Linked DNA regions of Drosophila melanogaster. The protein of the gene in region 3 interacts with the protein of the main gene of each other region in a pairwise test. Each region holds a gene or a part of one and is shown on either strand. Other genes may lie near its edges.

The links.
Region 1: the proteins of CG10164 (region 3) and GstO2 interact in a two-hybrid assay, tested with the Drosophila melanogaster proteins (one large-scale study listed by BioGRID).
Region 2: the proteins of CG10164 (region 3) and Polr2F interact in a two-hybrid assay, tested with the Drosophila melanogaster proteins (one large-scale study listed by BioGRID).
Region 4: the proteins of CG10164 (region 3) and HP1e interact in a two-hybrid assay, tested with the Drosophila melanogaster proteins (one large-scale study listed by BioGRID).

Annotation. Positions count from the first base shown.
Region 1 is NT_037436.4:8,520,889-8,525,037, reverse strand, and holds GstO2 (glutathione S transferase O2), read left to right. Parts: upstream 1-1,536; 5' UTR 1,537-1,606; coding exon 1,607-1,637; intron 1,638-1,816; coding exon of another isoform or gene 1,817-2,538; exon of another isoform or gene 2,539-2,627; intron 2,628-2,719; coding exon 2,720-3,306; intron 3,307-3,365; coding exon 3,366-3,503; 3' UTR 3,504-3,603; downstream 3,604-4,149. Other genes in the region: GstO1 (glutathione S transferase O1), read left to right, coding at 236-263, 321-904, 964-1,085, 1,141-1,171; se (sepia), read right to left, coding at 3,604-3,738, 3,796-4,149.
Region 2 is NT_033777.3:5,369,823-5,372,954, forward strand, and holds Polr2F (RNA polymerase II, I and III subunit F), read left to right. Parts: upstream 1-1,972; 5' UTR 1,973-2,064; coding exon 2,065-2,093; intron 2,094-2,155; coding exon 2,156-2,522; 3' UTR 2,523-2,575; downstream 2,576-3,132. Other genes in the region: CG31542 (uncharacterized protein), read left to right, coding at 1-428; CG34277 (uncharacterized protein), read left to right, coding at 598-601, 664-1,554, 1,613-1,653; hd (humpty dumpty), read right to left, coding at 2,853-3,132. UniProt on the Drosophila melanogaster protein: DNA-dependent RNA polymerases catalyze the transcription of DNA into RNA using the four ribonucleoside triphosphates as substrates.
Region 3 is NT_033777.3:23,553,792-23,558,915, reverse strand, and holds CG10164 (uncharacterized protein), read left to right. Parts: upstream 1-1,972; 5' UTR 1,973-2,683; intron 2,684-2,903; 5' UTR 2,904-2,908; coding exon 2,909-4,069; 3' UTR 4,070-4,593; downstream 4,594-5,124.
Region 4 is NT_033777.3:9,319,941-9,322,899, forward strand, and holds HP1e (heterochromatin protein 1e), read left to right. Parts: upstream 1-1,829; 5' UTR 1,830-1,885; coding exon 1,886-2,410; 3' UTR 2,411-2,421; downstream 2,422-2,959.

The DNA.
Region 1 (4,149 bases), on a different chromosome or scaffold from region 3:
ATAGATGAATAGATGACTGAATTATATTTAAAAAAATTAAAGTTGTAAAAATTAATATTTAAGATTAAGATAGATTTTTTTAAACCGATTAAATAATAATTGATTAAAAATACATCAATCCTGTAAAAAGACAATACGTTATCGAGCCACCTTAACGTTTACTGTCAAATATCGATAATTGTCATAACCCGCAAAACAGGTTGTGTTCCTTTCCAGAAAAAATTGTATTGCCAATATGAGCAATACTCAGCACTTAACTATTGGTTAGTATAAGTTACTAAGTTCCAAATTCACATTTAAAAGGCGCATATATATTGCAGGCTCGCCAAAGCCCGTATTTCCGGATGATGGGATCTTAAAGCTGTATTCGATGCGCTTTTGCCCCTATGCACACCGTGTGCACCTGGTCCTGGATGCCAAAAAGATTCCCTACCACGCTATCTACATCAATCTTCGCGACAAACCCGAGTGGTTCTCCCTGGTGAGCAGCTCCACAAAGGTGCCGGCACTGGAGCTGGTCAAGGAACAGGGAAATCCTGTGCTGATCGAGTCGCTCATTATTTGTGACTACTTGGACGAAAAGTATCCGGAGGTGCCATTGTATCCCAAGGATCTGCTTAAAAAAGCCCAGGAGAAGATTTTAATCGAACGTTTCGGACAGTTCATCAATGCCTTCTACTACCTGTTGCTGCACGACAATCCCGAGCAGCTGGTTGACACCGATCACTATGCCGGATTGGTCGTTTATGAGGAGGAACTGAAGCGACGTTGTACCAAGTTCTTTGGTGGCGACAGCCCAGGCATGCTTGACTACATGATGTGGCCCTGGTGCGAGCGCTTTGACTCTCTGAAATACACTTTTGAACAAAAATTCGAATTGAGTCCGGAACGTTTTCCCACTTTGGTGGGTCCTATTGGTTTTCTAATTATGTCTTTTAAATTACCGAGATTGTTCTACTGCAGATTAAGTGGCGCGACTTGATGATCCAGGATCGTGCTGTCAAGTGTTTCTATCTGGATGGACAGACCCATGCCAAATACATGAACTCCCGGCGATCGGGCCAGGCCGATTATAATATGCTATAGTAAGATTTGAAGATTATACATATAATGTGTGACTGATCCATTTCTCGTTTCTAGCAATGAGGCCAAACGTGTCAAATTGGGGTAGTCTACGGGATGATGGCGTTTCCACTTCAGCATTGTACCTTTTGCACATATAACATGTAACACATGTACCTACTACGGCAGCATTATTGTGATTGAAAAATAAATCTTTGCATTTTCATTGTTTATACGGGTTGTAAGTACGTTTGTTTTAGAATTAGATTAATGAAGGTATGAATGATAAATGGATATGAAAATACTTATCTTAGAGTAGTCGTTTGTAGTCTTTAATATGTGGTCAAACAATTTTCTTAAATATGAGCTTAAGAATTTTAAATTCACCCGCTCAACAATCGAAATATATTCGATAAATTCACTCGTCCGGCGACTGCGACCACTTTATAAGGTACCGGAATCCCTCTATTTGTTGTCAGTCGATCGGAACTACTTTGCCACCAACATTTCACGTCTTGGGAATTATTTTAAAATTGTTAACAAAATGGCCCTGCCGCAAAAGCACTTCAAGAGGGGTGAGTTGGGGGCACTTCAAGGTCATCGGGATAGTGACGCTGCAAAAGTTGGCAATTGATTTCATAGTTTTATCTAGACCCCACTTTGAGAGGCGTAAATTACGCAGAGATAGAGCTTTAATTTTAGCCAAAGCATAATGGAAAACTTTCTGCTGACGTCACAAATCACCCTTCAACAGGTTCGCCCAAACCGGAGATCCCCGAGGATGGAGTCCTGCGTTACTATTCGATGAGATTCTGCCCGTACTCGCAGCGTGCCGGTTTGGTTTTGGCCGCCAAAAAGATTCCACATCACACGGTTTACATTGATCTTAGCGAGAAACCAGAGTGGTACATCGACTACAGTCCATTGGGCAAGGTGCCGGCTATCCAGTTGCCAAATCTGCCTGGACAACCGGCTTTGGTGGAGTCCCTGGTCATTGCCGAGTACTTGGATGAACAGTATCCGGGCGAGGGCTCCCTTTTCCCCAAGGATCCATTGCAAAAGGCGCTAGACAGGATTCTCATCGAACGCCTGTCGCCCGCTGTCAGCGCCATTTACCCCGTGCTGTTCACCAAGAATCCACCCGCTGATGCCATCAAGAACTTTGAGACCGCTCTGGATGTCTTCGAGCAGGAGATCACCAAGCGCGGAACACCATACTTTGGAGGCAACAAGATCGGCATTGCTGACTACATGATTTGGCCCTGGTTCGAGCGATTCCCGGCCCTCAAGTACACTCTGGATGAACCCTACGAGTTGGACAAGACACGCTATCAGAATTTGTTGAAGTGGAGGGATCTGGTGGCTCAGGATGAGGCTGTCAAGGCCACCGCTTTGGATGCCCGAATCCATGCGAAGTTCATGAAGACCCGCCATGAGAACAAACCGGACTACGATGTAGCCTTCCAGCCCTTGTAAAGGATGTATTAATGGATGACAGGAAGCAACATACTTAAACTAACATTGTGAAACCGCTTTTAAAAAAATATTAAACCCATATATAAAGTAGACCATCAAATGTTATTTCTACCTTTTCAACTGGGATTTGGGTCAGTGCTTTTATTCCTGCCAATTAATCAAGCTTACATTGATCTTACAGGTTCCACCAAGCCCGAGCTGCCAGAAGATGGAGTTCCTCGTTTCTTTTCCATGGCATTCTGCCCCTTCAGCCACCGAGTTCGTCTGATGCTGGCCGCCAAACATATTGAACATCATAAGATCTACGTCGATTTGATTGAGAAGCCTGAATGGTACAAGGATTTCAGTCCTCTGGGCAAAGTGCCAGCCCTGCAGCTTACTGGGGTGAAGGACCAACCGACCCTCGTGGAGTCGCTCATCATAGCAGAGTACTTGGACCAGCAATATCCCCAGACGCGACTCTTTCCCACGGATCCGCTTCAGAAGGCGCTGGACAAGATTCTAATCGAACGTTTTGCTCCAGTGGTCAGTGCCATTTATCCTGTGCTGACTTGTAATCCCAACGCTCCGAAAGATGCCATACCGAACTTCGAGAATGCCTTGGATGTTTTTGAAGTGGAGTTGGGCAAAAGAGGAACGCCCTACTTTGCCGGCCAGCACATTGGAATCGTGGACTACATGATTTGGCCTTGGTTCGAACGTTTTCCCAGCATGAAGATCAATACGGAGCAAAAGTATGAGCTGGATACAAAACGATTTGAGAAGCTGGTATGTTTAAGTAATCCAACATAAGATGATGCATGTATCTCATCAAAAATCCATTACAGCTCAAGTGGCGCGATTTGATGACCCAGGATGAGGTTGTGCAGAAGACAGCTTTGGATGTCCAGTTGCATGCTGAGTTCCAGAAATCGAAGACCCTTGGAAATCCCCAGTACGACATTGCCTTCAAGGGTACACCATAGAACGACAACTGGTTTAGACAAGATCAAATCTTTGGAACCGGTTATGGACTGCATTTATGTTTTATTCATTCCATGCGAAAAATTCAATAAACCAAGTGCATCAGGCATCCTTGACCAGCAGATTGTAATTGGGTCGACCCAGGCTCCGTGTACGCAGGAACTCCGCCTGAACCTCGGCCTCCATGTAGAAGGCCATCACAGCCGGATCTCGTTTCATGCGTTCCAGCCAAAGGGTCTGAAAAATGGTATACTAATGTACTTCATCACTCCTGGGATACACGGACCTGCTCACCAGCTGGGGGAAGCGACTCTGATCGTAGTTATAATCCTCTCCACGCTGCAACTTAAGGAGCTCGAGGCGCTCACACCAGGGCCAAATCATATAGTCCAGAATGCCCGTCTGCTCGCCACCAAAGAATTCCGTACCACGTCGAGCCAGCTCCCTTTCGTAGATGTCCAGGCCGCTCCAGAAGGGCTCCAGATCACCGCCATCGGATGCCTTGAAGAAGGCACCTAACACCGCTCTAAATCGCTCGATTAGTAACTTGTCCTGCACTTTCTTCAGCGGATCACGTGGATAGAGTGGTCGCAATGGATACTGCTCGTCCAGATATTCACAAATCAGTAGCGACTCTGTGAGCACAGG
Region 2 (3,132 bases), about 18 Mb from region 3:
AGGTCAACTCGACGCAGCCGCCGGGCGATCCCGCCGCATGCAGCCTCTACCAGAGCCGGGGAGCCCCCACCGTGGAGTGCACGTGCACTCAGAACCGTAGCCGGCCACCTCCGCCATCCGTTCAGGCGGACCACATCACGTGCAGCCGGGGTCCGCGGGAGCAGCCGCCTGCCCTGGAGACCCGCTGCACCTGTCGCGAGAAGCCCGCCAAGACGGAGTGCCACTGCGCCCCGCCGGTGGCCCCGCCTCCCAACCAACAGCAGCAGCAGGCGATGGCCCAGCCCACCTACGCCAACGTGACCTGTGGCCAGAACGTGCCCAGAGGACCGCAACCCTATCGCCCGCACCACGGCAACCAGAGTCAGAACCCGAACTCCTGCGGCCACTGTCGATCGCAGAAGAAGCAGAAGAAGTGCGTCATTCAGTGATCTGGATGTCGTGCCACGGGAGAACGTTGGGATCCCAGCAGGCGCTACGCAGCAGGCTACACAGATTATAACGCTCACAACATGACATGACAGTACTCCCAAATTTCAGGTTAGCCAAATTTCCAGTTTCGACCTGTTTTCCGGGTCAATAAAGCCAATGTGACCGCTAATGGGTAAAGTAAAACAGGTGGTATGTGTGTGTTCCTTTAATACATCAGCGTCTCCTTCCGGACAGGGAACAGTCCGAGCGCCTACCAGGTGGGTCGGAGGCCAGCGCAGCTCAGCTCCGGGCAGGACATCTGCAACTGCCGCGGAAGCCAGCGGAATCCGGAGCGGAATCGCAGTCGCCACTGCTTCGTGATTCGCTCACAGCGGCCACCAAAGGGCGTGGCTGCGGAAACCCGGTGCTGCTGCACTCCTCAAGCGCCGATAAGCCGTAGTTTACCTCCGCCCACTAAGATCCGCCAGCGATGCTGCTGTGCCTTAGCTCCGGAGCCCGCAAGGCAAATGGTTTGCGACACCTCCGGGAACAAGCCGCAGAGATGCTGTACCAATTGCCCAGGAAACGGACATAGTGGAGCAGCTGCGCGGAGGACACGGGTGTATCATTCGGATCCATACCCCATCGGGTTAGGCGAGAATCGGAAAGTGGCTTTGGAGGAGCCAATTCTGCTGCAGCCGGACCCACATTCTGAGATTCCATGCAGCGACTCCTCGCGATCGTTTCAGCCCGCCGTTCACGCGATAAATGAAAACTGCCAGGAACCCCAGGATCCCTACTATCCGTATCCTCCCAGAAGCACGCGTCAGCGGGAAGTGGATCCTCTAGCCAACTTCGATCTGAATCGCTTCGACAGGGAAGCCATCCATCGAGGCCCCGCTGGCAGACGAAGAAACGTCTCCATTCGCACCTGCGTCGACTACGACTACGAGCCGGGATATCTAGCTCCAAGCAGTCCGCCCGGAAATCGACATCCACCAGCTCCATCCGGATATTCTCCGGCATACCCCCCTTCGTACGAACCTAATCCAGCCGGTTGTCCCGCGGCATCTTTGCCCAGAACTCGCCCACCAACCGCATCACTCCAGCGTCCATATTATCACAGAACTCATCCGGGATTACAAGGTTTGTATTTTCCAAGTTATCCAGGAGCAGGCGACTAATATTCCCTTTTTTTATTAAGAAAATACTGAATTCGATTACGTTAAATGTCCGTTTAGATGAAGGGCTAAAATATAACAAACCAATAGGTAAGTGTTTCATTTGATTATTATTTAACTATTTATAATTTAAATTTTATGGAATCAACTACTCTAATTGGATTAAATTATTTTAGGAAGACGTATAAATCAGATTTTAGTAGTTTAAACTTTAAAATATTCAAATAGTCTAACCTTTATACGAATTCCACCAATTTCAAATACTCGCGACACAGACGGCTATTCGATAAGTAATCACTTTTCCATTTGCCAGAAATGCAGCCCTGAAAGTTTGAGAAGCACTGGAAGTTCTGCGCACTGTGCTCCAGTGCTGAAAACCGCATGCAGCAGTGTGAAAGAAGAAGAAGACTGCGACGCGTGCAAAACACGCCGCACTTTACTATTTAATTTCGATTAAAACAATAGAAAAGCAGTGATGGATGATGCGGACTACGACAACGACGAGTAAGTGCAGGCGTAACACAATCAATAGCTGTGCCCATTAATCACCTACTTAACAATTGCAGCGTTGGCGGCGATGACTTCGACGACGTCGACGAGGACGTGGACGAGGACATTAACCAGGAGGAGGAGGCGGACAACATCGAGATCATAGCTCCCGGTGGTGCGGGCGGAGGCGGTGTGCCCAAGTCCAAGCGCATTACCACAAAGTACATGACGAAATACGAGCGCGCCAGAGTTCTGGGCACACGAGCGCTTCAGATCGCCATGTGCGCACCCATCATGGTGGAGCTGGACGGGGAAACGGACCCCCTGCAGATCGCCATGAAAGAGCTGAAACAAAAGAAAATTCCCATCATCATCCGCCGATACCTGCCGGATCACTCCTACGAGGACTGGAGCATCGACGAGCTCATCATGGTGGACAACTAGCTAGTACTCAACCCCTTTATCCATAATAAATCATACCGCCTAAGATTAAGCACAATCAATTTGGCTGCTGAATTCCCGGGGACTTAATGTAATGACGAACTGCAAGCGCTAATTGCTACACGATAGTTATCTTGTAAGCAATCCCTTTGCTTTAATATTATCTCTTAATACCGCTATAATCTGAAGTAGCCACAGATACTTGCTACCATGCGATTAGTACGAAAAACAATGACACCACGGGCTTGCTATTCTACTACAATATTTTATTTCACATAACAGACGTACAGATTAGGAAAACAAAGCTGCTCTAGTGTGAGGAGCACTTGGTGTCTAGCTCCAAGCATATCCCTCATCTCTTTGATAGCAAACGCGCTCTAAAAGACCTACGGCATGTTGGCCCGTGCGGCAGATGGAGCCAACTACTGCCGGCAGCAGACCACACTCCGAAAGATTCTGCTCGCCAAAGACCTGCCCGGCGGCATCTTCTCCTTCCGCATCTGACTGTGGCGTCTCCGGAGTTTCAAGCAGCTTTTGGGTGGCCTTGCTAAAGGCCAGCGTATTGATGCTGCTGGCCAGCGTGGAGCTAAACATCTGGCGCGTCTCGGACAGC
Region 3 (5,124 bases):
CGAGAGGGAGCCATCATTGAAATAGCGGAGATTTGGTCCAAATTGACATTAGAATTTGCACAAACTTTGGTAAGGTCAATACCAAAAAGACTTCAAGCAGTTATTGATGCCAAAGGTGGTGTTACAAAATATTAGTATTGTATTTATATAAAATAAAGAAATTCTTATGTTGAAATTAGATGTTAAGCTGAAATTTACTAAATTAAGTTGAGTGAAAATACTTTTGAAGCGCAATAAACATGTGAAAATACTATTGACAACTTGCATGCATATTTTCTTTTGCTTTAAGCTTTGTACTATGAACCGTTATCTTTCGTATTTCTTTTCGACTACCTTCTGCATAGATCAAGCTAAGCGATAAGAACTATTTCAGGCAAATCGGACAACAACAAGAAGAAATATAACAAAAAGAAGTTGAAGTTTGCAAATATTGTGCGTTGTGAAAATACTTTTGACCACCTCTGTATGTTTTCCCAGAGCCAACGAACTGAACTTGGTAAGTGTTTATTAAAGGACTTTGCCACAAAAGGACTAATCATTGGATAATCAAAAAATGATTGAACAAGTGTTAAAAATATTTTATAGGTAATCATTTTTCTCATGTTACTGAAAGTTGCAAGACTAGCGAACATATTTCAGTAATTTAAAGTGCCACACATCCATTGTTCAACATTTGTTTTTATTAGAGTTTTCCGAACTCAGCTGCCGGTGTAGTTTTACTTTTTCCTGTCCCTTCTGCCTCGTAAGTAAGGAAAACAAATAAATAAATTTCAGTTCTGGCCAGGGCACTCACTCTCACACACACACATAGCCACATGTGGAAATGTGTGTGTGAGGTTGCCTTTCATAAATTTGATATGTATGCGAATTCCTTTCGGTTGTGTGGTTGGGGTTTTGTTTTTTGTCAAGCGAAACCCATTTCCTGGGACTCACATGCTGCCACCAGGTTTCATCTACATTTGCAATTATTTTATGCTCCGCATTTGCCATTTCGTCTTTAATTAGATTTCCTGCCCAACCCCTAGCACAAATTTGCACTTGCCTTTGATGGGGCTTTCATTAGCCCGGCCTTGCGTGCCGTTTGTCTTGCTGGACGATAATTCCACTTTGGCGAACAAGGGCTGGCCAAAAAACACTTTAAGCCCTCTTCGGCTGGCTCACATGCATTTGCTATTGGGCTCTCGGTGTCATGCTGCGACATGCACTACTCGCCACGAAAACATGCAATTTGCAATGGCCATTTGCGCGACCATCAGTCAGTGGGACGCTAGAAACTTTAATTGCCCGCACACGTTTTAGCAAGCTAAGAAAGCTCGATGGAAAACACTGAGTAAAACTCGACAAAATCGCACTCGCCGCAAATGTGTTTTCGCGCCTTAGTTTTGGCCAAACTCTGACACACGAACGTGGACCTCAGACACCGAATGCCACTCGATATAATAGCCTTTCACCACGACGACGACCGCCAAGCACGTCCTTTCGCCAGCTCGTAACGAATTCAACTGAATCGCCACGGCCAGGAACAGCTCGATTTGTTTATGAATCGTCGTGTGCGCTTCGAGCCGAGTCCTCGGAACTTATTGTTCTGGGCGGCAGAGAGAGCTTTTTAGTCCTGTGAGTGGGGCTGCGAATATCGTAAAGTTAAGAGAAAGGGCATTTCTAGTGCTCTGCCCTTCACGCTCAGTTAAGAATTAAATTCTTGGTATGATACTTACTGCTTTACTTTCAAATTTTTGCTTTGCTTTAATTTGCTTTGTTTTAAAAAAGCATTTACTCTCACAATTTTTAGGGAAATCGTAGTTTTGAGTTCAGAGTTGATTATTAAAAATATAAATTCTTTATACAATTTAAGAAAGAAATTGCATATATTTATTCGTTTTCTGCTGTAATGAGTGAGAAAGTATTAGATGGAGAACAACATTTTCGTTTTCTTATTTTTACAATATAATTTAAAGCATTGCCGTAATTGTCAGGCGCAGTGACTTTCGAAGAACCATTTTGAATATCAAAATTTGGGAACACCAGCTCCCGGAATACAGGATTGTCCATTCCTATAGCTCCACATAGATGATCTAAATTGAACAGAGTACGCCTTTCCCCAAGTAGCAGGGGCCCTATCCGTATTCCTGGTCCCATTCTAGACACAAACAAAAACATTCACAGCAGTCGAACAGACAGCCCAAAGACACTCCCACACCAGCTGTGTGTATGCGGTTTAGTTGGCCAACCGCAAAATTCTTGGCAAACAAAATAAAGAAAACTAACTTGGGCCGAAGCAGAGCAGATCCAAGCGGCAACGGAAATTGTTAACCTTTGGGGATATCAAACATTTACGATTGCGTGGCAGCGGCAGCAACATTTAAGTTTTTATCAGCACAAAATAAAGTTTTGGTTTACGGATTGTGTTCCTGTCCGCCAACGCTCCTCCTACTATCCACCACTTTTTGGCCAGAGGCAGCTACAAGTGCCCAGGAGCCAAGACAGGAGCAAAATTCAGGAGCAGAAGCTGGATCAGGGGCTGAAGGTTCGTCCCTGTTGATTCTGGGGCACGCAAAACTTTTATCCTTTTCAATTTCGTTTTTCTTCGCCGAGTACTTTTGAGGGATTTAAATTTCTGTTTGCAGCCGAGCCAACAGCGAAACAACAACCGTGGGAGTGGCAGCATCGAGTTCGTGGCGACCAGGTGAGTGTTTCTTGTTGGCCTAATCACGGCTTTGCCGACTTGGCCACAATCAAGCACAATGCGATTGGCGCTGCTAATTTGACTTGAATGATACATAAAAAGGTGTACGAAAAAAAATTAGGAGGCTTATGTGAAAATGTGATGGTAGAAAATAAGTATATTTTTGATTAAATATTTTTAACAAATAGTATTTTTTAGTCTAAAAATAATTATTTTTCAGCCGTCATGAAGAAGAAGAGTCGTAGAGATCGGACACCAAAAGTAGAACAACCTGAACCATCGAGAGTTGTCAACACGGAGCCTATTCGACTGAACGTGGAACCCCAATCCCAAGAGATAGATGACCAGGCTGCACCATTTATTTTGGTAGACTGTGCGAAATATGAGGATCGTTCAGATTTGGAAGCAATGCTTAGTTCCATAGAAAAGGAACGGATGAAAAAGGTTCAGGCAGATATAGAGCAGCAATATTTTCCCCTCCTGGAGGATGAAGAACCACCTCCAGAATTAGATATGCCTATAAACCTAAGCTCTCAAGCATTGGCTGTACTGAATGATGCAGATAATGAGCGCCGCTTTAAAGAGGATCTGGAGAGCCTTAGTATTGCTGGACTGGAAGAGAAAGATACATCCATTAGCATTACCAACATGAAAATAGAAGACAGCAAACTATTGTTTCGGACTATGCCAGGTATGAATCAGATTTGCTGCACGCTAGAGCAGATGAAAAATGTTCATGGGAAAATTGGACCAGCAGAACCAACTCCACAGGCACGTTGCACCAGCTTGATTCCACTTTCAGGCCTTCGCCGGCAAGACACCTTCGAAATTAAACGTAAAAAGAACCAAAAGATTAGATATCCCGAGGTTTCCACCAAATCAGCAATTAGCGAAAGGAAACATCTACCATTAATTGCCAAGGGAGGAAAATGTGAGAAAGTTATCTCAGAGACTGATAAGATTTTCAGCCAGATTGGCGATCTTCTCGTGAAACTGCAGCTCCAACACGAGGGCAGCAAAGTCCTGAACAAGGGATCCTCTTATTCCTACATGGTGAACATTAAGCCAGCTGGAGGTGCATCCAATTGTTCAGTTTATGCGCTTACAAAACTCAAATCGCACGAAGTAGAGGAGACGCATGCCGAAAATCTAAGAACTTCTCACGCTCCATTGATCAACATTTTATACCCTGGTCGTGGTGGACTTATGGAGACTTCTGAGTTGTCCACGACCGCACGATGTATCGATGGAAGCTCCATTGGGTCGATGTCCCTTCGCGAAACGCCGTCCTCCAAGATCAAACCATCATTTTTACGCAAAAGGCCCAGTTCCCATCTAAGGGCACCTAACCCTGTCAAATTTTGCCACGGCAGGAAGAAAAATTAGGCCGCTTGGTAACCATTCCGCAAATTATTTGTTCGAAAGCCATTTATTTTCTATCGACATTGGAATCTCCAAATAATGCTTACAAATTCATATGTTGGTCATTCAAAAGGATCTTGAATGGATATTTTATGCAAAAATATATCAGTTGCCAGAGTCTAATGAACGGTAATAATTCAACAAATGCATACAATGCGGCCATAATATAAAATATTAAGTGATACAAAACAAATATATATTTTTATAAGCCATTAATTAAAAAATAACCTACATTTTGGTTATTAATGGTCTCTTGGATTTATTTCCACTAGGGTCAATTAATAAAATTGCAAGTCTGAAACCCAGTTTAAAAGATCAATATGCTGTTTTCGATTGAATTGAATTGTACAGCGCAAACAATATTTGTTTTTTCTTTATTCATCGCAAATAAACAAGTGGTTTCAAGTGGTTTATTTATTTGCCATTTTAAATTCATCACAAAATGCACAATAATTATATAGATGTTATCGGCATTCACATTTTCAATTACCCTCGTATTTTAATTTATTGTGTTGTAATTAAAGCGATTTAATCATATTCAATCGCCAGAGTCCTCCAATCAAAACTCGTGCACCTTTCTGGAGTGCTTCCCTGCATAAAAGTTGCATCTTGTCCACTTCCTGGAGGAGTTGTCTAATTGCATGGCCACGCACTTTCATTGCTCATTTCCGAGTTGCCCTCAAGTGCGTGGTTGCAGCTCATTTTGTTCGGTTTGCACAATTGTGGCCAAAGTGTTTTCAACTTTCTTCTGTCAATGCGCCCGGAGGTCGAATCCGAAGTCCGTGCCTCACCCGAAAATCCCCTCTTTCGGTTTGGGTTTGGTGAAATGTCGGCCAAGTGCTGGGCTTGGCTTGTGCCAGTTGGCAGACGTCCTGCTGCAGGACCTTAAAAACCTGCCTGCCTCCTGTCATTTGTCGTTGGCCAGAAATTGCAAGATTGACTACTGGGCTGCAGAGGGTGAACAAGTGGGTGGGCACAAAAGTTTTCATTAGTTTTAATTAAATCCCAAACAGCATTTC
Region 4 (2,959 bases), about 14 Mb from region 3:
AGTGCGTTGATCAAATAATAAAAACATCAAATATTGGTCTCAAAAAAAAAAAAAAAAAAAAAATTATGACCGTAATACTGTCAAAAACAAGCACACAATAATTATAATGATGATCAAATAAAACTGGAAATTAGCCCAAAGTGTGTTAAGTCAAGCGAGGAATCCGAACAAAGGAACTACAGCCAGCACTGGAGGCAAAAAGTGACAGTAAAATTGGCTCGAAGACAGCGGCTAATGAGCGTGCGATAGGAATAAAGGAGTAGAATGGGGCCAAAAACCCAAGAAACTCAAGTTGGCTAAAAGGCAAAGATATCGCAGTACTAGTCAAATACGAGAATACTGAGAGAGCATTTTGCGATGGGCTTGTGGCAAGACTAAGCGTCTTACTGGCAAATTGGGAACGGGGTAAGAGGAAAAGCCGAAAGCTAAACAAAGACGGCCAACGCAGATGGCAAAAAGGAAAAACTCAATTGCCGCACAAACCGAGCCGCCATTGTTTTCTTAATTGAGTGTCTTTTGCTAGTGTGTCTGTGTGCCAGTATGTTTGCTCATACATATATGGGGTATCTGTGTGCCAGGACACTATGCTCATTGCCGCCTATCTGCCGGCAGAGTTCGCTTATCAATTACATTGAATTTACCCAGGCAGAAATGGCTTTTAGCCATTCTAGGCACCACCCCCTGCAATCAATATTTGCCGGAAGTGATGGCATAGGCAGTCACATTGACTTTTGCGCCGACTGCTCACCTCTCCACTTCCTGTGCTTCCGATTTGACGCTGATTTCACAACTCGCCGCACGGAAATTGCCCGGCCCCCCATTTACGGCTTCAGTAAACAACCGCACCTCACGTTTCTTGACCACCCCTCCACTCCATTTCGATTTTCGAATCTTCACTGTACTGCAGTTGACGAAGGCGCACATTTTATGTATGTATTTGCCGTGAATCTCCAACTCCATCCTACTTCATAAGTCGCCTGATTTATTCCGGCCACGTAGCACTCACTGCACAGTTTGATTGCCACATTCGCATGTAAATGCTGGCCTCTAAAAAGTATTCAAACCAAGCGACCCAATCCCACAAATCTGTCCCACGTCATCGCGCATAATCGAGCTTTTAATTTCGGGTAATAAAACTTTGCCGATTTAATATCAGGTACGTGGCGCCTTCATTCTACAAAAGAAAGCCATAAAATGTGGAACTGACTTCGAGGGAAGCCATAAACTTATGTTTTTCAATGAAGGATAAATAAGAAAAATAACTAGTTGTTACACCTTTCAAATTTTTAAAGCATATTCCCCAATTTATTGTCAAGTGATTCATCAACGATTTCTGTGGCCTGCAAAGTTTGCCTTGAAAGGCAAAAGATTTTGTTCATTAAACAACGTGATACACGAAACCAAACTGAAAAAAACTTTGTTCTACGAGTATTTCAAACTTTTCGCCAAGTTTACGCATAATTTTTTACGATATTTTCCGCAGTTTTTCCTTTTGACGGCTCATCTTATTCTTATTGTTGTTCGAAAGGACTTACCCAGCATCCAGGGATCTCTAATAGATTTCCGGCAAACAATTTTATTCACTTTCTGCTATTGAATTTGGTATTATTAATGCCGCATTTCCTAAGCTGTGGGCATTAAGTATATGGCTAACTTTTCTACTTCAGGATATTAAACGAATTCATTACAATATTTTTCATAATTTTATTTCTTTTGGCAAGAAGATATTAAAGTAGACCAGCATTTAAAAGAAAACTTGTCTGCACAGAAAACTACGTTTTGTTGAGTAGCAACTGTAGATAAAAAGTTACGAAAATGTTTTTCGCTCTGACATTGCTGTCAAAACTCATCAAAAAAATACTATTTGAACATTTAAAAATATAAAATGGATTCAGATGCCGATGGTGGCGAGACCGTTTCGAATTTCTCTGAAAATTCGACGGATTTTGAAGAAACTGAGGAGTATATTGTAGAGAGGATTTTGGATCGAAGGCATTATATGGGCCAATTACAATACTTGGTCAAATGGCTGGATTATAGCGATGAAGATAATACCTGGGAATCGGCAGCAGATCTCGATTGCCATTCACTTATTGATTCGATTGAATCACAAAAAAGTCTGAAGAGGGGTCAAGAGCTGAATAATCAATATGAAACTAAAGCTAAACGACTGAAAATCGATCCATGTCTAGTAGTAGATAGTCCTTTTAATCATGGTTTCACTGCACAAGAGATTCTAAAAGGCGCTAAAAACAATGGTGAAATATCGTTTTTAATTAGGTTTTGGCATCTCGATCAACCACAAGTGGTGCCAAGTGGAATTGCATATGTGGAAATACCGCAGATGGTTCTGAAATTCTATGAAAATCATTGCAATTTTCACGATTATTTAAATAATTATATATCATGACTTGCAATTCTGGATCTTCAAAAAAAAAAAACTTATGAATATGTGTGTGAGCTTCTTATATTTTATATGTTAGGTTAAATTGCTTTACTTTTTATAATAAAAGGTGTCCCTTTGCACAGCATTACAAACAATAATGAAGGCAAAATGCCAAGTTTTAAGTGATTTTTGGGGCGTGTTTGCCCGACAGGCAGCGTAAACACTCTTAATTGCAACAACAGTGCCGGCAAACAAGGGCCAGGAATGTACGACGGCCAAAATGAAGCGAAAATATTTGCATTCCGTTTTTGTGGCCATTCCCTTGTCTCATCGCAAGTACCAAAAGTCGTAAGACCTATTCTCTGTTTTTGGCTGATGGGGCGTGGTGGCCGGACGTACTTTTGCCCTATATATTCGTGTTTGTTTTTCGTCACTTGGGTCCTTTTTTTTGGAGGGGGGGGGGGGGGGCTCTGGTGCTACCCAGTTGCGTCCAGTGGGCACGTAGCCACAATAGCAGCAAAAAGGTTTCGTTTAAGCCTTCTGCACTTTTGCCGAGAATTGATACTGCAATAT